2 linked regions of the Tamandua tetradactyla genome follow. Each later gene encodes a partner of the first gene's protein in a complex. Links are inferred from orthologs where the notes say so. Each region holds a gene or a part of one and is shown on either strand. Other genes may lie near its edges. The genes, in order: NHP2 and NOP10.

Region 1 (11,907 bases):
TCTCAGTAGCCTGGTTGATAACCACTGTTCCACAGGTTTAGTATGACAGCAGAATGGGGTGCATTGTACAGGCAGGCTGGAGCCCTTTAGAACTGATCACTGATTCCCCATCACCCAGATTTTCTGAAAGGTTTGCATGAGCAGACATCTGCCTTTGGATTTTCCTTTTGTTTTCCCCATAGGTTCTCAAGTTTTATGGTACATCAGAATTCCCCTCTAGAGTTGGGTCTATATAGTGATGTATTACCTGTACTTCAGTATGTTATAAAGGAATTTGAAGGACCAGTTTGGCTGAAACCGCTGTAGAATCCAGTCCCAAGTCCCATGCTGAGACGTGTGTGCACTGCTCCTTTTGTCTGCCTGCTGGCTTCCTGGGGCCTGAGCCAACTCTGGCCCCTGCTGTTTGTTCCCCTGCAGCTTTGCCTCTGGCTGCGTGGCCCTGCCTGTGCTGATGAACATCAAAGCTGTGATTGAGCAGAGGCAGTGCACCGGGGTCTGGAGCCACAAGGACGAACTACCGGTGAGGCTGGGCAGGGCTTTGGGTAGGCCAGAGGGACTCTGGGGAGTCAGCCACAACACCAAGTGGGACTCACCCCTTGCTGGGCCTCCCCAGATCGAGATCGAACTAGGCATGAAGTGCTGGTACCACTCGGTGTTTGCTTGCCCCATCCTCCGCCAGCAGACGTCAGATTCCAACCCTCCCATCAAGCTCATCTGTGGCCATGTCATCTCCCGAGATGCACTGAACAAGCTCATTAATGGAGGAAAGTAAGTTCCCCAGGATCAGCCCCACCTTATGAGGCTGCCCCGATGGTTGGCCCCAAGACTTCGTCTCCCCTCCCTTTGCAGGCTGAAGTGTCCATACTGCCCCATGGAGCAGAACCCAGCCGACGGGAAACGCATCATATTCTGATTCCAGCCTGGAAGGAACTTTGTTGAAAGGGGTTTTGGACCCATGAGCCTTGGTCCAGCTGGCTTCAGTGTCTTGCAGTTCACTTCAGAGCAGCCGGCTCCTCAGTGCTACCTTGGGAAGAGCAACATGGACATTTGGCAGGGGCAGAGGACAGCGAACCACCGTGCCCTGGGCAGCTGGCTCCCTCGCTGTAAGAAAAGGGCGATGCTGGCCTCCCTAATCCTGCTGTCTCTGTTTATATTTGCTGTTGACTTCATAGCAACTGACAGAGCAGCAAAGGATGTGGCTGTCAGCAGACCCCTCTCCACCCCTGCCCTCAGCCAGGTCTCTCATTGCCACACCAATGTTGTGTCCAGCTGTGGCCCACCCCCTCCCACTGTACAGTATCATGACCATACATATCCATTTCCCACTGTAAATAGTCCACGTGAGCGCTGAATAACATTGTTTTATAACTTTGAGCAAATATATTCAAAGCCCTTCTCCTTAACCTCTCCTGGTCTGCCTTAAGCTTCACTTGACAATTACTATGTGTCTGCCACATACAGCACCTGGCAAGTAGTGGCCACTACTGCTGCCGCTTGGAGCATGCCAGTGCCCAGGAATCCAACTCGCCATCTCTGGTTGGGGAAAAATCCTGCAACGAAGGCATAATTCCATGGGACACACACCAGATAAGGACAGAGGCTTGCAGGGAAAATGTGGGAAATGTCAGACCCTGGGCCAGAGGCTTTATGTGTGTGTGTATATATATATATTTATATATATAAATCTTATTACCTCCATGTTATCAATCAGTGTAAGAGGATTTAGGAAGATGAAATGACTTACACAGCAAGGCTCACAGCTTGTAAAGGAGAGAGCTGCTTGAAATCTAAATCCCTTCTGACCCTCAAGCCCAAATTTATCCCAGGGGGCTTGAAGCTGGGTCCCTGTGTGTCCTGTGTCCTACATTAGATCTTTGACAATGAGAAGGGAAGTTAAACCTTAGATTTGAAATGTGTGAAGACATGGGGCCAGGGGCTATTATGCTAAACAAGAGAGCTGGCCTGGGGTTAAATTTTACTGTGTGGGTAGGCAAATTGTTTCCTTGTTTCACAATGGTAGCTCCTGGGGAAAGAAGAAAAACTGAATGGGGGTGTTCCCAAGACATAACGGCTGCAGGCTTCAAAGAAATGGGGTCTGGTTTGTACTGCCTTATCTTGCAGCTGTGAGATCCCACCTGCTCTGGAAGTACAGGCTGAAAGCTCTGGGGTGGGCAGCAAAAAGTCCATCTCCCAGTTGAGTCCAAGCACCAGTTTAGATGGCCAGGTCTTGACAGTCTCAAAATGCTTAGGGTTCTCTGGCAAGAAAGTCTGCTTCCGCTCTTTGCTGCCCACCAACTCCTTGGTACCCCCAGCAGCTGCTGCTTAAAAACACCCACACACTCACCACATTTTAGTCTTAGCATTTACTTCCCCCACACCAAATTCTTGGAATGGTCTTCATTTAAGCTCAACAGGAAATGGCAGCGATGGAAAAGATGCTGGCTTTTACCTTCATGAATTAGCTGCTGGAGCTGCCTGGGAAGAAAAAATGCCTCAGGGGACTGTGGAAACGCTGTGCATGTGGGCAGCAAAGAGGGCAGCCAGCTGGCCAGCCGCCAGTCCCACCGCTTCCAGAGCAGGTTCACAGGTGGTTGCCCGAGTCTCACAGGGGCGGGGGCAGGGCCTGGACCTCCTCGAGGCACTCATCGTAGGCCTCCTGGTAGTCCTCGTGGGGCTTGACCATGATCACACAGGTGGGGCGCTTGGAGCCAGCGGCCGCCCCCAGGTCCTACAGAGAACGGGGAGAGAAAGGCTGGGGGAAATGCCGCACAGCCTGTACACCAGAAGTCACAACTGATGACCCCAGGCCTAATATGGCCCAAATTGTCCTACTGGGTCCGTATTATGCTCAAAAGCATTTTGAATTGGTTGCCACTTTTTAAACTCAGCAAATTTTCAAGTCACATCTCCATAGGGCAGAGCCTATGTTCTCCAGTCCCCACCACCCCTAACTCTGCGGCACTCCAGCTCTGGCCCTGCTACGTAAAGATAAGGACAGCTGCAGCTTCCCAAAATACTGAAACACCTAACAGGGCTCACACTTGTGCCACATTTTAATTTGGAAAGCATACACACTCGAGTCTACTGGTTTTCAGTCTCACAGTCCACACAGGAATAGATTCTGATTTTATGAGGAGGAAACTAAAGTGCAGGAAGGTAACTTATTTTCGGTTCCACAACTAAGCAGCAGCAGAGCCAAGCACTGATCCAGAACTCTCCTGACTCCAGAGCTTGTGTCCTTTTCCACAATAGCCTAGTGCCACAGTCCAGGTCCCAGACCCCCTCCCAGTGCCAACAAACGTTGGAGGGTGCTGTGCTTCTCACCGTCTTGGAGGGAATGTAGACGTAGGGCATATCCCGGTCCTCACACATCACCGGGAGATGGCAGAATACCTCAATGGGCAGTGTGTCTCCTGCCAAAACCATGATCCTGAGAAGAAAGAAAACACTGTCATTTCTAGCCTGCTCTTTTTTCAGCCCTTCAGTGCTGCCTCTGGGTTGGGCCTTGGGGTTACAGCTCAGAATAAAGTGCCTCTGTCCTCAAGGAACCCATAGTCATTAATGGGGATGTCTACAGTCCTCGAAAGTGGGAGAAAAACAGTGTGTTTGGGTGAGTGCATTCTGGGGGAGATGATCTCTATTTTTTAACTACAGATTCAAATGTATCTCTAACCTAAGAAATAGTTTAGGTCTGACCTAAGACCCACTGATTCAGTGGGAGGTGACATGGCAACAAGTAAATGCCACCAAGTGTGACAAGTGGTAAAGTGACAGAGTATGGCAGGGGCACAAAGGAGTAAGTAATTCTCTTTGGAAAGTCAGACAAGGCTTCAGCCAGGGGCCAGCACTTGAACCAAGGCTGAACGAATGAATGGCAGGCAGCTCATGGGGGATGCAGAGTGCGAGGAAGACATTAAGGCGAAGAGAAGCAGAATGGTACGATACAGCATGGAGGCTGCTGGCAGCCTGGATGGCTTTGAAATCCAGGATGGGGATGAGGTGGGCAGTAGCCAAGAATGCTAGACAGCAGGCAGGCGCCATACCAACGGCCTTGAGTGCCAGGACACCACTAAAGGCTTGTCTGAGAATCCTCAGCTAGGGTTCCTAGCTGGCCAGGTTGGGCTCTGGGCCAAGGACCTCCGGAGCCCTGAAGACAGATGAAAGAATCTGTTCTCCAAGGGTGGGTGAAAGGCAGGCAGGAGAGAAGCCCAGCTCAGAGCACTGCTTCAGTGTCCTGTTTGCCTTCTGCTTCTTGGGCTCTGTTCCTCTGCAGGATTCTCTTCCTTTAAGTACCTTTGAAATGTTGGTAATCCTCACAGCCTGGTCTCCGACTGCCCTGTGTCACTTAACACCTTCTCCCTGGCCGACGTGATCCTCAGCCATGGCATCAGTGCCATCTATGTACTGACAACCCCCAAATCTGTTTTCTCCAGACCAGCTGTCACTCCCATATAACCAATCCCATATAACAATCTGCCTACTGTCTCAAAGGCACCGCAAAAACTTGTCTAAAACCAAACACTATCTCCTCACTCTTCATATACTAAAGTTATTTCAAATCCATCTACCTGAATTCTCACCATCTGCATCCCATCACCAGCCTAATCAAAATCACCCTTACCTTTTCTGGATTGAAGTAGCCTCCAGTTTTCTCACATCTATTCCTGCCTCTCTAATTTTTTCTTTTCTCAGTTGCCAGGAAAATCTTGAACTGTAAACATACTTAGGGTACTACCTAGCTGTACCACTTTAATGGTCCACCTAATGCACAGAGTACAAGAACCAAATTCCTGACTGTGGCTTACAGGGACTCATGAGAAGATAGGACCTCTGCCCACCTCAGCTCTCTCCTGCCCTAGACTTTTATACAGAATCCTCTTCTGCTGGAACAACCCTCCCACCACTGGTTAATCCCCGTCCTCAGATCTCAGCTCAAATGTGAATTGTCAGGGAAACTCGCTGATGCACCTATCTCAACCCCAAGTAGGGCAGATTCCTATCTGAACATCACCCCCTCCCCCCCCCCCCCCCACACACACACAGCATTTTATCTTGGGCATCTATTGGGTCAGACACTGGGGATAAAGAGGCCCTGGTTTCAAGGGGCCTGCAGTCCTATGTGGGAAGGAAGGGAATGAAAATGTAAATAAGTACCACAGGTTCTGATAAATGCCGTAAGATAAGCAGGGCGATGATGTCATTCTCACTGCACCCTGTACGTTTCCTTCACGGTTATCACAATTTGTAATTACTTTTGTGCATGCGATTATTCGATCAGTGTTTCATCCCCACAGTCAGGTGCCAGACAAGAAAAGGATGCCCAATAAATAGTCGCCGAATGAATGAAGCTGGGGTCTACTCTGAGTCCGTGTCAACAACGGGCTTCCCTCCGGAGTCCACTGTCCCTTTGAGCTCGTATAAGTGATTATCGGAATCTGTACTGCAGGGGATTCGTCGGCTGCTTTATCTTCTGCATATGGGGCTGAGTCAGAACCGATTTAGGAATATCCTTCTATTAAGCCGTAAGGGTTTCCCTCTATCTAGACTTGACAAATCCGGCGGGGAGGGGAATCCTTACCCTTTTTCGCCTTTGTTGATAAATTTCTGAACCTCCTTTACCCCGCGCCGAATCTGCTTCTGCTTCACGGCTGTAATGACAGGGCGGTTCAGCCAGGAGCTCTCGCCCCGCCAGACTCGCTCGCGTCCCGGCCGGACCCCGACCCCGGCATACCTTTCTTTATGCATTTGTAGAGCTTCCGCGTGAGTCGGCGAGAAGCCAGGGGCTGCGCGATGGGGTTCAGGTTGACCAGCAGCTCATGGTAGGTGCGCTCCCCGGCGCACGCCTCGGCTTGAGCCTCCGGCCGGTCGGGATCCGGCTTTATTTTGGTCATGGCAGCGGCCGGGGCACTCGCCCAGTCCGGGTAGTCGGGAGGCGAATCCACGCGGCGGGCCGCTAAAGGAATCACTTCCGGGTCAGCCCGCGGTGCGCGAGGCCGGCAGGCCACGACAACCAATCGGAAGCGAGCACCTCCGACGCAGGCCAATCGCTGACGCTCAGTGGCGGAGCTAGGGCAGCGGCTGGAGTCTTGGCGGGGAGGCGGGCCGGGCCGGCGTCCTATGGGACAGGAGGGAAAGGGACCGCGGCTTCCGCCGTCCTGAGAGTTCCCGCGTCGCGGCTACGGTGGCCGAAGGAAGCGGCCGTTCCTGTGGGGGCGTGGCTACGACCGGGGGGCGGCCCTGGCGGAAGAACAGGCTCCCCAACGGCCCTGGGAGGTGCGCCCCAGGTGCTGGACGTTAGGGCCGAAGACCGACGCTGCTAACGCGTTCTTCCGTTTTGGCATCATTTCTCCTACGTGCTCCCTCTCTGAGGAACCCGGATGCACAGCTCCGGAAGAACCCAGAGCAAGGGATCACTGGCGCCTAGGTCTGGAGCTCTTTCCTCCAGAGCGCGCCGCGGCTCGCCCGTTCTCTTCCAGCACCTTCTGCCCACGTATTTCCCCGTGGGAGAGGCTCCCGTCTGAGCCCGTTATCTAAAACTGCAGCCCCCCACCAGCATCCCCCAGCCCTGTATGTTCCTCCTGGTTCTTACCACTGCCTGCCTTTACCCAGGAGTGGGGCTGAGACCGAGTTGGGGCTGATGGGGAAGGCAGCTGACGTGCAGCCTTGGCCCCTGGGAGCGAAACGCACGCGAGGCTAACATAGGGTAAGGGAGGCAGATCTGAGAAGACAGACCAGTTCGGATGTAGCTGTGGAGAACTGTGGATCGCGATGCCAAGGGTGGATCTCGTCATCACTGATAAATCTCTTTGATCTTGTGGAATGCTAGATGGCTATTAACTGATGCAAAGTAATTGCCTTTGCTTATGCGGTGTAGGTCCTTCATTTGTGTGGTGCAATAAGGGGTCAGGAAGCACAACTTTAGAAGTGGGTGGGTGGCAGTGGGGGTGGCGGGTTATTTAAGCCAACGTGTCCAATTTAAAGATGGACTTTTTCATTTTCTTCGCTTTGAAATTGCATGAGAAGAGAGGCCTCTCCCAGAGCTTTAGAAACACTGAGTTACTGCCAACTTTCACCTTACTAGAGACGATTTTGCAGTACCATTTCTCATCCCAAACCCTCCCCTGTCCTCCTACCTCCTATGTGGCAGCAATTCTGATCCTCCCTGGGCAACTCTTTCCAGTGGAATGCAGGGCCTGAGACCAGCCTTGTGGCAGGGCTCCATGGAGTGGTTTTCTATTACCATTTCCCAGGATAAACTGCATAGCGGTTTTCTGTTCGTGTTTCGAAGGGATTTTCTTGTACACAATTTGAGCCTTGTAGATCTGGTGTGAAAATGTACCATGGTCACAAAGGTGATAAGTGCTGCCAAGTGTGCACACAGGGTGTTCTAGTTTGCTAGCTGCCAGAATGCAACACACCAGAAACGGAACGGCTTTTAAAAGGGGGGATTTAGTGAGTTGCTAGTTTATAGTTCTAAGGCCGAAAAAATGTCCCAATTAAACCAAGTCTATAGAAATGTCCAATCAAAGGCATCTGGGGAAAGATACCTTGGTTCAAGAAGGCCAATGAAGTTCAGGGTTTGTCTCTCATCTGGAAAGGCACATGGCGAACACAGTCAGGGCTTCTCTCTCAGCTGGAAGGGCACATGGCGAATATGGCGTCATCTGCCAGCTTTCTCTCCTGGCTTCCTATTTCATGAAGCTCCCCGGGAGGTGTCTTCCTTCTTCATCTCCAAAGGTCACTGGCTCGTGGACTCTCTACTTCGTGGTGCTGCAGCATTCTCTGCTCTCTCTGAATCTCTCATTCTCTGAAATATTTCCTTTTTTATAGGACTCCAATAAACCAGTCAAGACCCACCCAAATGGGTGGAGACATGTCATCCCTTAATCCAGTTTAACAACCACTCTTGACTAAATCACATCAACCAGGGAGATGATCCAATCACAGTTTCAAACATACAGTGTTGAATAGAGATTATTCTACCTTATGAAATTAGACTTATATTAAAACATGGCTTTTCTTAGGGGGCACACTTCCTTTCAAACCAGCACACAGGGCATGATATGGACTGTTTGTCCAGTGACGTGATAGAGAAATCCATCCCTGAGAAACCCAATTCAAACAAATACTGTTGAGTCCTTGGCCTCTTCGGCTGTGAGGACCATTCAGGTCTTATAGGGAAGGAGGAATGAAATTAACATTTTGTGCCAAGGGCATTACATAAAATAGCTCATTCAATGCTCATGAAAACTACCATTATTATTCACGATATACTGAGGCTCAGAGAGGTGAGTCACTAGTTCCAGCTCACACAAAGCTGAACTTGATACAGCCAGGAGGCTGTTCTGAGGGCTACTCTTAACACAAGCTTCCCAAATCCCAACCACTCCTATTAACCCTAAAGAATACTAGAACACTATCTGAAATTCTACAAAAGTTTCATGCACTAAAATTGCTTTCCAGATACCTATAACCTTCAGATGGGTTCCTAGGCCAGGTAAATTCTGAAACCCAGAGGGGCCAGCCCCTCCAAGAACATTAAATAGTTCCATCCCTCTATCCATTCCATCCCCCTTTCCAACATGAAAAAGTTAGAATGGGCATAACCCAAATACCCCTAAAGATTGAGAGAAGAATCAAAGGAGGAGGAGTTATAACAGAGAAAATAGGATTTAACAAATGAGTATGATTGCTGAATCATTATATCAATATTTCTTTTAGTCTCCCATGTCTTGGAGAAGCTGGAAGAAAATCCTAATATTGTGGAATGGTAACCCATACTAAACTGAAATCTGTTTTATAACTTGTATATAATGTACTTTGAAATTTATTGCTTTTTTGTATCTATGTTATATTTCACACAAAAAAAGTTTTTTTTAAAAAAAGTTGAATTTGAGTCCAAGTCCACCTATTTGAAAGCTCAGATTCTCCCCACCCATGTAAACTGGTGTTTGACTTCAGCTCAAAGGATGTGAAACATGGCTCCACTGTGAAAGTGAAGGACCCTCAACCTGGCTACAAGTGTCACAAGTGTCAGCATCTTAAACCAAGAGACAATGATATACCAAGAACAAATGTCTCCTCAGTAAACCACACTGTGTATTTCTAAAGCCAGCCTCAGTGACCTATGCTGATTCCAAGATGGCTTGTGTAACTTTATCAATTTTATTGTTAAAATGTATTGCTCACTTGAGATTCATAGAACCTGCCACGCAGGAGACCCGGGTTTGATTCCCGGCTTATGCACTTTCCCAAACAAGCAAAGAAAGAAAGAGAAAACAAACAAAAATTCAACAAATGGTGCTGCAATAACGAGATGCACACATGGAAAAAGAATGAAATATGACCCCGGGTATATAGCATACAAAAAAAAAGCCATTGGATCAAAGGGAGAGATGTTTATTTGGCACAAAATTTATATTTTAGGTCATAGTGCATTACCTAATTTAACTTGTCTGGTCAGTTTAGGTGAACACTATAAGTACATGGAATCTTGAGTAGGATGTAAGATTTTGTTGGTTTGTCAGGTTAATGTGATATTCTAATACATTCCAGAGTAATTTGGGCAGTGAATAAGGAAATATTTCCAAAGTCCCCTTCTGGGACTGGGAGGAAAGGAGGAAATATTCAACTTTCCCATTTGGAGAATTTCTGATATTCTTGCAATCAGTGGGGACAACCAAATCAATAGACCAAGCCCTCGATCTTGGGGTTCGCCCCTTTGAAACTTATTCCTGCAAAGGATAGGCTAAGCCTACATAAAATTAGGCCAAAGAGTCATGGGAGAGGCCATTTCTTCTCATGCAATTCCAAAGCAAAAAAAATGAAAAAGCAACAGTAGGTAAAAATTTGCTAGAGAGGTTGAAGAACAGCTGTCAGTAGAAAGAGTCACTGAACTTGAGGATAAGGCAATTGAAGTCATCCTGTCTGAGGAGCAGAAAGAATGAGGAAAAGTGAACAGCTCATGAGGAAGTTGTGGGACACCATCAAGCATACCAATTTATGCGTTTGAAAATCCCAGAAGAAGAAAGGAGAGAAAGGGGCAGAAAGAATATTAAAAAAAATAGTGGCTCAGGGCGGGGCTGCTGTGGCTCAGCAGGCAGAGTTCTCGCCTGCCATGCCAGAGACCCGGGTTTGATTCCCGGTGCCTGCCCATGCAAAAAAAATAAATAAATAAAGAGTGGCTGAAACTTCCCAAATTTAATAAGAAACATGAATATTCATATCCAAGATGCTCAATGAACTCCAAATAGGGATAAGCCCAAATAGACACATACCACATGTAATTAAACAGTCAAATGCCAAAGATAGAGAATTCTGAAAGCTGAGAAAAGCAACTTGTCAAATACAAAGGAGTCTCAATAAAATTAAGTGCTGATCTCTCATGAAAACCATGACAGCAGCAAGGCAGTGGGATGACATATTCAAAGTGCTGAGAGCAAAAAACTGCCAACCAAGAAGTCTATATCTGGCAAAACTGTGTTTCAATAAATAGGGAGAGAAAAAAAATGAGGGAGAGATGAAAACATTCCCAGAGAAACAAAAGCTGAGGGAGTTTGCCGCCACTAGACTGACCCTCTAAAAGCTGCTAATGAGAGCTGGAAGGAAAGAACAATGGATCAATAGATCACAGCACAGGAAGAAATAAAGATCTGCAGTGAAGGTAATGACATGGGTAAGTAGAAATGCCACTACTGTTGATTTTAGGTTAGTAACTTCACCTTTTTACTTCCTGCAGGATCTTAAGAGGTATGAGCATAACCTTTAAGGTATAGGCATAACATGTAATGAGAACTCAGTGGTTTTAGACTCATATGGTATAACATGCAATTTGTGACAAGAACTATATAAGCGTGAGGGTATAGAGGGGCACAAGAGCACAGTTTGTGTACACTAATGAAGTTAAATTGGTATCAAAGCAAATGTGATTGTTGCAGATTTAGAATGTTAAATTTAAACTACCATGTGTGCTAGTTTGTATCTATTATATACCCCAGAAAAGTCATGTTATAATCCAGACCCAATCTTGTGAGGGCAGCCGTTTCTTTTAATCCTGATTCAATAGGTTATTAACTTTTTATTAGATTATTTCCATGGAGATGTGACATGCCCAATTGTGGGTGTGAACTTTGACAGAGATGTGATGCTCCCCATTCCAGGTGGGTCTTGATTAGTTTACCGGAATTCTTTAGAAGGGGAAACATTTTGGAGAGAAACTTCAGAGGTGACAGAAATGACAGAGCCGACAGAAACTTCAGAGCAGAGCTGACATAGATGTCGACACTTGGAGAACAGTGACATGGATGTTTGGAGATGCTCGGAGCCCAGCAGACGTCACCATGGGATATTAAGCAAGCTAGAACCTGGAGAGAGCCAAGGGAAGCCAAGAGATGAAAGCCAGCCCTAGAGAAGCAAAGTGAGGAGCCCCCACAGGAACAGAGGCTGAAAGCAATGGCGCCCAGGAGCAAGGGACCAGCAGATGCCAGCCTCGTGACTGCCCAGCTGACGGAGGTGTTCCTGACCCATCAGCCTTTCTTGAGTGAAGGTAACCTCTTGTTAGTGCCTTAATGTGGACGCTTTCACTTCCTTAGAACTGTAAACTTCTTATTGCTTTTTTTTTTTTTTTTTTACATGGGCGGGCACCAGGAATCGAACCTGGGTCCTCTGGCATAGCAGGCAAACATTCTTGTCTGCTGAGCCACCGTGGCCCGGCCAGAACTGTAAACTGTAAAGTTATTAAATTCCCTTTCTTAAAGCCATTCCATTTCCATTATATTGCATTCCAGCAGTTTACAAACTAACATACCATGGTAAATACAAAGAAAACGACAGAAACTAGGCAAGCTCATAGAAACAGAAATTAAAGTACAGGTTTCCAGGGCTGGGAGGCCAGAGGGAATGCGTGTT
Region 2 (10,058 bases), on another chromosome or scaffold:
GTAGTGGCTACCCAAGTGACTCTCCTGCAGAGGGTCTGGACTACGCTTTGGGAGGAGACCCTGCTCCAAAGGTCTTGTGTGTGGAGAGCATGAGTAGACCAGGGTCAAAGGTAAATGGCTCTAGCCCCTTGAAGAGCAGTGTGGTGGTTCCAAAGGAGGCTAAGGGTGGAGTTGCCATTTGATCCTGAAACCAGTTGCTCAGTATATACCTGGAGGAACTGAATGTGGGGACTCAAATGGACATTTGCACACTGGTGTTTCTGGTGGCAGTGTTCAGGATCCACAATGCATGGAGGTAGTCTAAGGATACGACCACTAAGAAATGGAACAGGTAACTATGGTATATACATACAATGGACTGCTGAGCTGCAGCAAGAAGGAATGAAGTTGTCAGGCATGCAACTAGTTATATGAACCTTAAGGACTATATGTTGAATGAAATGTCAGGAACAAAAAGATGAATATTATCATGCCTCAATAATACAAACTAAGTATAATATAAAAACTCATTGAACTGAAATATGTATGTAGTATGTGTTATATGGTGATTTTAACACAAAATGTTAAAGAGGACACAGTGCAGAGTTGAGAGAGGTAGAGGGTCTGGTGGGAAGAAGAGAAAACTCCCCAGATAACTAATGACTGCTTTATAAGCACAACAGACAGCCCATGACCCCAGATTCCTTGGCTAGCATCCACTCAAACCCTTAAGGCAAGGATATTTTGGACTTTTGTGAGTTCATTTCCTCTTTTAGGTTGCCTTATAATGATGATGATAACTATGACTACCATTTAATGGGGACTTCTCTTCTGTCAGACACTGCTAAGCATTCTAGGTATATTAGCTCATTTAATCTCAGCAACCCTCTGGGGTTAATTAATTAATTAATTAACTCCTTTTTAGATAAGAAAACTGAGTATCAATGACATTAAATGTCCTGCCCAGATAAGCATGCTCCCACTTCCCTATTTCAACTTGAATTCTCAATAAAATGGCAGGGCAATAAAATGGAAGCAGGGCACACCAAGTTTCTTTTTGTTCCTGACATTTCATTCAACATATAGTCCTTAAGGTTCATATAACTAGTTGCATGCCTGACAACTTCATTCCTTCTTGCTGCAGCTCAGCAGTCCATTGTATGTATATACCATAGTTACCTGTTCCATTTCTTAGTGGTCGTATCCTTAGACTACCTCCATGCATTGTGGATCCTGAACACTGCCACCAGAAACACCAGTGTGCAAATGTCCATTTGAGTCCCCACATTCAGTTTGAGCCTATACAGTCCATTGCCTCCCACAGGAAAGGCCAGCACTCCTTGTCCTGGCTGGCAGTGAGACTCGACTCAAATATTAGAAGGTAGTAAGAAAATGGGAGGATTATGGCACTTGGGGTCAGAGACCTAAGTTGAAATCATAGCTCCTGTCTTTATGACAGGAAACCTTTCTGAGTGTGGTTATCTGTAATAGAAGCGTATATTTAAAATGCCTGCCTGAATTCACAGTGTTGAAAAGATCACTTGAGAAAAGACACCTAAAAGCCTGTTATAAACTGGGAAGTGGATTAAGAAGTGTATCATCATTATCATGCTTTTATCTTCTTAGGATCTCCAGGGCCTTCATGACTTGCCTTCAATTATTCCTAAATAGCCTAACCATCCCAAAGTTCTCCCTATGTAAAAGCCCTGGATTAATCAATCTCAGGTCTCCCCACTTACATAAGAAAGCAGGAAAGAGCTTCTGCATCGGGACTTTGGGATAGATGCTTCCGGGCCAAAGCTTTGTAGCGCTGCCAGCGTCGGAAGTTCTCATAAACACCCTTGGAGGTATAGGAAAGGTCACTCAGTGAGGGCTTGGATCGGGTGGCCACAGGGCTTCCTTCCCCAGGAGACCCATACGGCCCTGGGCAAACCTCCTGTAGGACAGTGGGGGATAGCTGGACAGCTGGTGGTGGCGCCTGAAGAGGAAGGCTCGAGGGCCCCTCTTGGCTCACCCCGGAAGCCTTAGCAGGCAGAATGGTCTTCACATTAGAGGCCGTCAGGAATCTCGGTGAAGGACCCTCAGAACCTCCACAAGGAGCTCCTGGGGCAATCCAATTGAGGGCCGTCGTCGGAGTAAGGATCAAGTTCTGAGTTGGAGGAGGCTCAACTGCTCCCCCTTCTGTCTTTACTTTGACAATGACCTTGCCAGTCCCAGCCCCACTAGGGCCAGGGCCCTCATCCCCTGCCACCAACAGTGGGCTGGGGAAAGCAGAGAGCACAAGAGGGTTGCCTGGAGAGAATGCTGAAGGCATGGGGGGCTGTGGGGGAGGCTCCCAGGGTGGTTGCTCTGGTGGGCCAGGTGGAGGTGGAGGAAAAGGAAGTGCAGTGAAAGGGGACATAGTGGAGCCAGGTTTCATGGTCATATCCGGTCCAGGCAATGAAGATGCTGTTGAGACAAAGAAAAAGAGGGAATGGGGTCTGAGAAAGGAGACCAGAAGTTAGGTCACTTGGGTCTCTTTTTACTCACTGAAGAACTAGACCACTAGATCCTTAACAGGTGAGGGAGGGGATATGACTGAGAACTAGAGTAGTTTGCAACTGTCCTCCCCTCCCCAGGTGATTTTGATATTCCTTACTCCCAATTGTGAATGAGTGCACTGGAGAAGTTACTCCCTTTCCAACAAGACTCCCCAATCCATGTCTTCCAAAAAGAGACAAGCCCATGCTCCTGGAAAGCCTCTCCAAGAAAATTCCTGGCAGACTTCCACTGACAGCCCCATAGGGAACAGGGTTGACACCTATTCTGCAGGAAAAGACCCCATAGCAGGCTCATAAGCAGAAAAGGGACCTTGTCCAGCTCCTTTAGGAACCCACAGAGGCAGTTTCAAAAAGATTATTGGACCCATCTCCCCCTCTGTCTTCTTATAAAATCTCTTTTCTTTCTTTCCTAACCTAAAACAACAGAAGAAAGATGCAAACTATTAGCAGGAGCAATGACCCTAGGATCCGTGACACTCACACCCATGACACTTCCCACGAGCAAACATGGACATCCCCTATTCCCAACCATGTCAAACAAATTCAAACCACCTAAACCCTGCTCTCAGTTGCTCTGTAGTCACTGCCACAACTCACAGAAGCCCTGTCCCCAGGACCAAGTGTGTGGATTAGATGTTTGGTTCCCAGAAATTCTGTTATATAATAGCCAGGAATGACTACAGAAGATTAGATAAGTACCAGGAAATGGGTGAAGGGTGGGAGATGTAGGGAGGTTTCCAGAGCTGCCAGACGTGTTAAAAATTTGGCGCTGCAGACTGCCTTGCAGTCCTTCTGCTTTGAAATCCTAAAACCAGAAATTTAGGAGTCACTCAGAACAAGACTGTGAGCTGGTTGCTTAGAGAAGGATAATTGAAGTCTGGAACACAATTCTTGCTCACGAGTTGCTTGTGTGGATTCTAGTTAAGGGGACTAAGGATAAACAAAAGGTGCTTAATTAATTAGGACGTGTCTCCTAGGACTTTAAATAACAATAATAGAAGATAATCTGCCTAAATTCATACTAATCCCCCCACCCCACCCTGCTCTTATAAAGAGCATTCCTCTGGCAAACTGACAACACTCAGCTTCTACTTCCTGGCCTTGAAGGAGACATGGAATATAAGCAAATTAGTCATCTCAACAGCAGCGCAGAAGGCCACAAGTATGGCCGAAAGTACTGAACAAAATGAAATTGGTCTGAAGGCCTGAGTCCCACAAAACATAAAATCAAAGCTTTCTTCCCAGTTGGAGTTAACCACCACCTCCCTGGGCCCTGATGAATCAAGGAAAACTGCTATACAGAAAGAAAAGCCATCTCTGGGGCTGGAAGTTGCTGTGAAGCTCTGAGCCCTGGCAGTTAGAGTACTTTCCAGCCTAGCTTTCAGGAAAATGTTTCCCTGCAGGCTTGGCAACAGATGAGACACTGAACTGTTTTTTTGACTAAAATCATCCCCCAACCCTATCTTCTCTCCCTCTTCCCTTTATAAGATGAAGAGTGACCTCATCTCAGTTCTCTCAGGGCAAAATGCTAGAGCAGGCACCTAAAGAAAAAGACTTAAGAACTTGGGCCTTCCCCTTGAAACCCTTCTGGGCCCCTCCCACCACATACCTCTGCCCCTGCTGCACAAACACACATTGATGTGGTCCCCCTCCTAGAGAATCCAGTTCCTAATTGCCAGCCTTTCTCTACCTAGCCTACTTCCTCTGAGGTGTCCTAATCTACCCCTAAGGAGCCCTCTTCCTTCCCCAAACTCCAGTCTGAATTGTTCAGTCTCCCTCCCCAGCCTCCCCCAGGTGTGATGCCTTTGGTGGGGTCCACAGGTCTCCTCCCTCTAGGCCAGCCCAAAGAGCTTGCTGTCAGACAAAAGTGTCAAATGGGAATCCCCAAGGGTCTGAGTAGGTGGCAGGAGAGTAGGTGGCAGGAACCCTCCCTATCTGACACCCACTGACTTACCTCCATCTGAAGCTATCCTCTCAGATTTGGGCACCAACTGTGGCTGTCTGGAAGCCTCCAGGACCCAGAGAATAAGCTGGCTTAGAAGGTACCAGGGATCCAAGAAAGGGAAGGTAAAGATCGAATCAAAATAGAACTAGAATCTAGGACTCAAGGCATTCTGCAGTGGGGGAGGGGAGGCTTGGAATAGGGGGTACGGATGAGGGGAATATTCCACGAAGGACTCTGAAAAATAGGCACTAACTGAGTTTGGTAACAAACTAGGGTTTGGCAGCACAATTGGCATGTACCTCTTTAGGGCAATTTGAAAATACTTTCTCAAATTCCCAACACAACAGTTTTACCTCTATTTACTTCAATTCTTCACCAATATATCTAGTTTTGCCTCTTCAGCCCCACCCAGTTCAAGAGTAACTGACTTCCTCTTAATAACAGGTTGTTGGTAGACCCTTGACTTAATTCAATGATGGCTGTATTTTCTAAACGAAGTTCAGACCACATAGTCTGCATACTGAATCAAGGCGACTGAATATTTGAAATTCAGATTGTCTCAGAAGATCCAGGATAGTTGATTGCTATATGCCTATCACTTACTCGCAAAGTTGTCCTGCAGCCCTCAAATGGTCTACTACCATAAGCTTGGCAGTCCACATCAGGCCAGCCTTACCAGTCATCCCTTCTGCCGAAAAGCCCCACCACATAAAAAAACTGCCATGTAGCCTAAAAGTTCTAGACCAGAAAGTTCTTCTTTTTGTTTGTTAAATTATTTTCTTGTTGTTAAATACTTAATTAAAAAAAATAATTTTAATTGAATTGTTTTAAATAAATGGTTCCATGCGAACCTTGAACAACCGTGCTGGCTCAAGATTAAAAAATTCAGCCTCCCAGCTTCTAAGAGACAACTCAGGGTTGTTTCCAGAAAACAGGGAATCAGTAAGATGACATAAAATGAGGACTTCAGGGAAGCCCTTTGTTTATTTACTCCTGGCTAAATAGGTAAATACATTAGCATGGTTCAAAAGTCAAACTGCAAAACAGAATATACAGCAACAAGTTTTCTTCCTGTAACAGAGTTCTTCATCCCAGAGGAAACCAATATTACCTTTTTCTTATGGACCCTTGCCGAGGCATTTTGTGCAAATGCAAGCTATATTCTTTTTTTTTTTTTAAAGCTCTCAGGTTTTTGTGGTTATAAATTAATAATATGTTTCAGTGTTTTTGCATTATAGATATTGCTGCAATAATCATTTTTGTAATGCTATCTTGGTTCTAATTTCATTTGTTTAAGCTACAGCCCCATAAAGAAAATTTCTACGTTCCTTTAAAATTCAAAATGCCACTAGAAGTGTTTCTTTTATGCTATCATTAGTTACTCACCACTATAAGAAAAAGCGCTGAAAATGCGGGAAAGAGACCTGAGTTTGAATCCTGGTTCGACCACTAAAACATACTTCACCAGTTTCATAAAATAACTTCACGCTCTCTCCGCTGTGCAGAATATTGAATACCCATCATGCACTCTTTACCGCCAATAGTTTGAAAAGGGGCGGGGAACCGGATGCAAAAGCGGGGAGGGGGAAAAATTATTTTAAGGTAAAGGGGTACTGAATCCCAGAGTCCTTTTCTCTCCTGGTGTTAGACACCCACCGCCCCTCAAATGGGTGGGCATCGTAAAACAAAGACAGAATTCTATTCATTAATGTTCAACCCACGTTCACTCCCACCCCCATCTAACGCCTAGCAGTGCCTGGCACACAGTGGGTACACTCCACGCATCAAGGCATGTAAGGTTACAACTGCAGGCCCCCAGGCCAAATCCTGCGATAGAGCGCCCCCTTCTGGTCAGCTGAAGAAAATGCCAAAAATGGACTACAATTCCCGTCATGGCTTGAGACAGACTTCCGGCTATACCGGAAGGACGTTGTGAGCACGTGAGGTGGTGGGACAGGCAGAGGCGCAGATAAGCGTGCGGACGGAAGTGGTGTCTCTGCTTGAAGCGTGGTCATGTTTCTCCACTTTTACCTCAATGAGCAGGGAGACCGGGTCTATACGCTGAAGGTGAGGAGAGGATACTGCGAGAAATGGGGGGCAGGGGGCGGCGGCGGGCGGACGAGACCGGCTAGGTTTGGAGATCCAGAAATGCCGGAACCGAGGCGTGTAGACGCAGGGTTGTGCCGCTTCTTGAACAGACCGTCGCGTCTCCTAACCCTTTGCTTGCGCCTTATCGCGTTCCCACCCGCACCCCCTATTCCAGCCTCAGTCAACCTTATGACGCCAGTAATTGAGTTTGCCCCTCACTCCGGTGCTGAGATCGTGTTTTCTCTTCCCTTCTCGAGCAGAAGCTTGACCCAATGGGACAACAGACCTGCTCAGCCCATCCTGCCCGCTTCTCCCCAGACGACAAATACTCGCGACACCGAATCACCATCAAGAAACGCTTCAAGGTGCTCATGACCCAGCAACCGCGCCCTGTCCTCTGAGGGTCCCTCATATTTCATGTCTCTTCGGTCTCCTGCTACCCCTCGGAGTCTTTCTTTAAATAAGCTCTTCAGTCTGTGAATCTTGAAGCCCTGTTTTATTACCACCCTTGGTCTTTGGAATCTAGTCGCATTGCCTTTGATCATGCTTGTGTGAGGCAATCATGTTAGCATCTCCTATAAAGGAAACAAGTTTGAATCTTTTCATTTTGTGAACTACTGTTGGGTTATTAAAGACAGAATGATTTAAAAGAGCTCTCATTTTGTGTGTTGTGGGAGAAAAGAGTTGGTAAACAAAAAAAACGAGGGAGATGAAGGGGGAAATGTCCCAGAGCATGGCAATAAGATCACTTGTAAGAAAAACTCAGTCGCTGCTGTAGCAGCGAGTAGTGATGTGCTGTTGTTGATCGGAGTGCGTCGGGAAAGGGGAAGAAAGGTTGAGAAAGACCTTCACAACTGTCTATATTCACTGAAAAATACCCATGTTGTCATTCCTTGTGCCCCCTAGCAATGACATTTTGACTCAAAATGGAAGAGTTTATTGAAAAAGAATAGCAACCATATTGTAGAGGAAGGCCAGTGGATTGGAAGTCAGGAGATGAAGGTTTTCCCCTATTTGTGCAACTTGAAGAATTTGGTGCTATTTTTCACATCATTTCAACGTTCTCTTCCAGCTCTAAAATTGAGAGGATTTAGTGAGTCTTTCTTTTCAGTATATCTGTAGTGTTTGTCCAAACTTTATGAATAGTAGTGCCCACATGCATATTTTCTCTCTGGAAATATTCCCAGAACTTTAGGTCTCTAATCAATTCTCTTTTTACACAAACCTAATTTTGCATTCTTTCTGGCAGCTACTATGTGGAACTCTTCATGAACTTTAATTTAGGAGATGAGGTGAGGTATGAGAGGTTCAAGAAAGAACTTGAAATCTTTTAGGACCTGAGCTTCTATCATGGAGCAATAATAAATGACTTTCAATCCAATTACTTCATATTAAGAGGGTGCAGAAAAATACTGTATCCAGGCACTCAAGAAATGCTAGGTTGCTTCTTCCTCTCATTGTCAAGTTAATCAACCCCTATTTCTCAGTTGTGTTACTTGGCTTTTGACGTTGGATTTGAATGTGCCTGCTCAGTGCCATTGGTTTAAAAATTGCTTTTTGGAGAACATATTCTAATTCAGCAATCTTTTCCTACTTTGTCAAAATTAGCAGAAGTAACTCAAATCAGCACAAATGTCATTTATAAAGACTACAATGGAAAGGGATAGATAACATTTCGCTTGGCCCATGTTGTCTGACCATCCTAGCAGAAAAGTTGAGGACAGTTGTTGACTGCTGAGAAAGAAGGAAGTCTCTGGACTTGGATCATAATCAACGGAGAAAGATGATTTTTAAATTAATTACTTAAACTTACAAAAATGTTGAAATGAGATAGTTTCCTTTTGAGCAATTAATTTTTTTTTTATTTTAGCCTAGTCACTTTCAAAAAGTTCTTAACATTGGGTAGAAAGGATGTTAAGGAGTTATCCTAACCTATTAAGAGAGTAATGATTGGTGAAATATTTAAAGTTATACGAGTAACAAGAAAAAGGGCCTGATGCTAAAAGTTTCTTTTTCTTAAGAGTGGGTAAATGAACTCTACTGTTATTTTTTAATGTTGACTGCAATGCTGATTTTTTTCTTAAAAAAAAAAAAATAGCATTGTTCCCCATGGAACCTGCAACATAGACTGAAATTAGACCCTGGGCTGGAAATGTTCCTAGTTGAAGTAGAGGAGAAAAGGCAAACTGTTGTGCAGTAATGAGAACTTTTTCCTTCGGTATTAACATCTCCTGGGACATAAACTTATAGAGCTTGATGAGTGCTCAAAGACAAGAGAGGAATCTTAAGAGTTATAGTATATTAGCATTACGTAGGATATATAAGTAAATGTAAGTACACTGTGATAAAAAAAAAATTGGTGATGTAAAATCCAGCATTTCTTAACAAAGGAAAGTCTGTGGGTTTCCAGTGAAAAACAGGCCTGCCTGAGTTAAAAATATCCCTTGGGGAGATGGATTTCTTGCTGTATCTGTAAGAAAGCTAGGAACCTGAATCAAGTACCACAGGCTTTATAAAGGTTCAGGCTTCAGGAGCTGCACATTTTTTCCTCATTTTGTTACCTGGGTCTTTTAAAATGGACTTTGGACTTTGTGTACCACTTGATGAAAAGGGGTTTTCCTGGCTTGGGTCTTTACAGTTCTGAACCAATTTTTAAAGATGCGGTTTAAACAGTTCCACTTGTGAGGAGCAAAGACCCGGGGAAAGCCAAGGGCCAATTTCTGGGACCAGAATGTTAAATGTCTTGATCAAAGGCACAGCAAATAAATTTAGTCAACATTTATTGAACACCTCTTTATGCATTAAATATACACACTAAAAAATAACTCCATCGCCAGTAAATGTAATAGGGAGAGCACTGGGAGTAGAGAGAAAGTATCTCAATGTCTTTTCCAGGTCTAAAATTATTTATCTAAAGTGTTCTTTAATGGAACGTTCAGTCTGACTAGAAAATGGGCCTACTATTTTTCAAAAGACGGAAACAAGAAAAATCATGCAGTATCCAGTGCGTCTAAAATTGCTGCCTCTACGCTTTAGGATAGAATTCTACATAAAATTCCCATAAGGGTCATACGTAAATATTTGGAATGGGGGGATTGTTATAATTCTTACAGAGATTATGAATGGTATTTTCAGAAACACTCTTATTAAAGAGAGATGGCCCTTGAGGTCTCCTCTTTGAAATGTCTTCCAAGTACTGCAACCCCGGTCCTACCCCGCGAGGCTTCCGCCCCTACATCCGACTGCCAATTTCCGCGATACCCCAGGACCCTCAAACGCTCGGTCCTACTCCCCGCCCCCTCCGCCCACCCGGCTCGCCTGGGCCCAGGGTGGGCGCATGCGCGCAGTCCTCCGTCACCTCGCGGGCCGCAGAGGCTGGGCGGGGCTCCCGGGCGCGCGCAGGACGGTGCCGCCCTCCGACCCTTCCCCCAGGTTTTTTTTCCGGACTGTTAACCTCGAATGAGGAACGAGTCGGGCGGGAAAGGAGGGGCTCCGGCGGCAAGGCT

The links.
Region 2: NHP2 (region 1) and NOP10 share a complex: the UniProt entries of both Homo sapiens proteins name them as parts of the H/ACA small nucleolar ribonucleoprotein (H/ACA snoRNP) complex. The link is inferred for Tamandua tetradactyla from reciprocal best matches to the Homo sapiens genes NHP2 and NOP10.

The regions. Positions count from the first base shown.
Region 1 is NC_135346.1:59,722,349-59,734,255, forward strand, and holds the start of NHP2 (H/ACA ribonucleoprotein complex subunit 2), read right to left. Parts: upstream 5,971-11,907; 5' UTR 5,892-5,970; coding exon 5,732-5,891; intron 5,649-5,731; coding exon 5,579-5,648; intron 3,431-5,578; coding exon 3,325-3,430; intron 2,774-3,324; coding exon of another isoform or gene 2,729-2,773; coding exon 2,603-2,728; 3' UTR 914-2,602; coding exon of another isoform or gene 850-913; 3' UTR 769-849; coding exon of another isoform or gene 614-768; 3' UTR 521-613; coding exon of another isoform or gene 418-520; 3' UTR 1-417. Other genes in the region: E3 ubiquitin-protein transferase RMND5B, read left to right, coding at 418-520, 614-768, 850-913. UniProt on the Homo sapiens protein: Required for ribosome biogenesis and telomere maintenance. Part of the H/ACA small nucleolar ribonucleoprotein (H/ACA snoRNP) complex, which catalyzes pseudouridylation of rRNA.
Region 2 is NC_135340.1:45,694,864-45,704,921, forward strand, and holds NOP10 (H/ACA ribonucleoprotein complex subunit 3), read left to right. Parts: upstream 1-6,399; 5' UTR 6,400-6,477; coding exon 6,478-6,531; intron 6,532-6,812; coding exon 6,813-6,953; 3' UTR 6,954-7,202; downstream 7,203-10,058. Other genes in the region: NUTM1 (NUT family member 1), read right to left, coding at 1,719-2,427, 4,474-4,549, 5,851-5,913, 6,186-6,203. UniProt on the Homo sapiens protein: Required for ribosome biogenesis and telomere maintenance. Part of the H/ACA small nucleolar ribonucleoprotein (H/ACA snoRNP) complex, which catalyzes pseudouridylation of rRNA.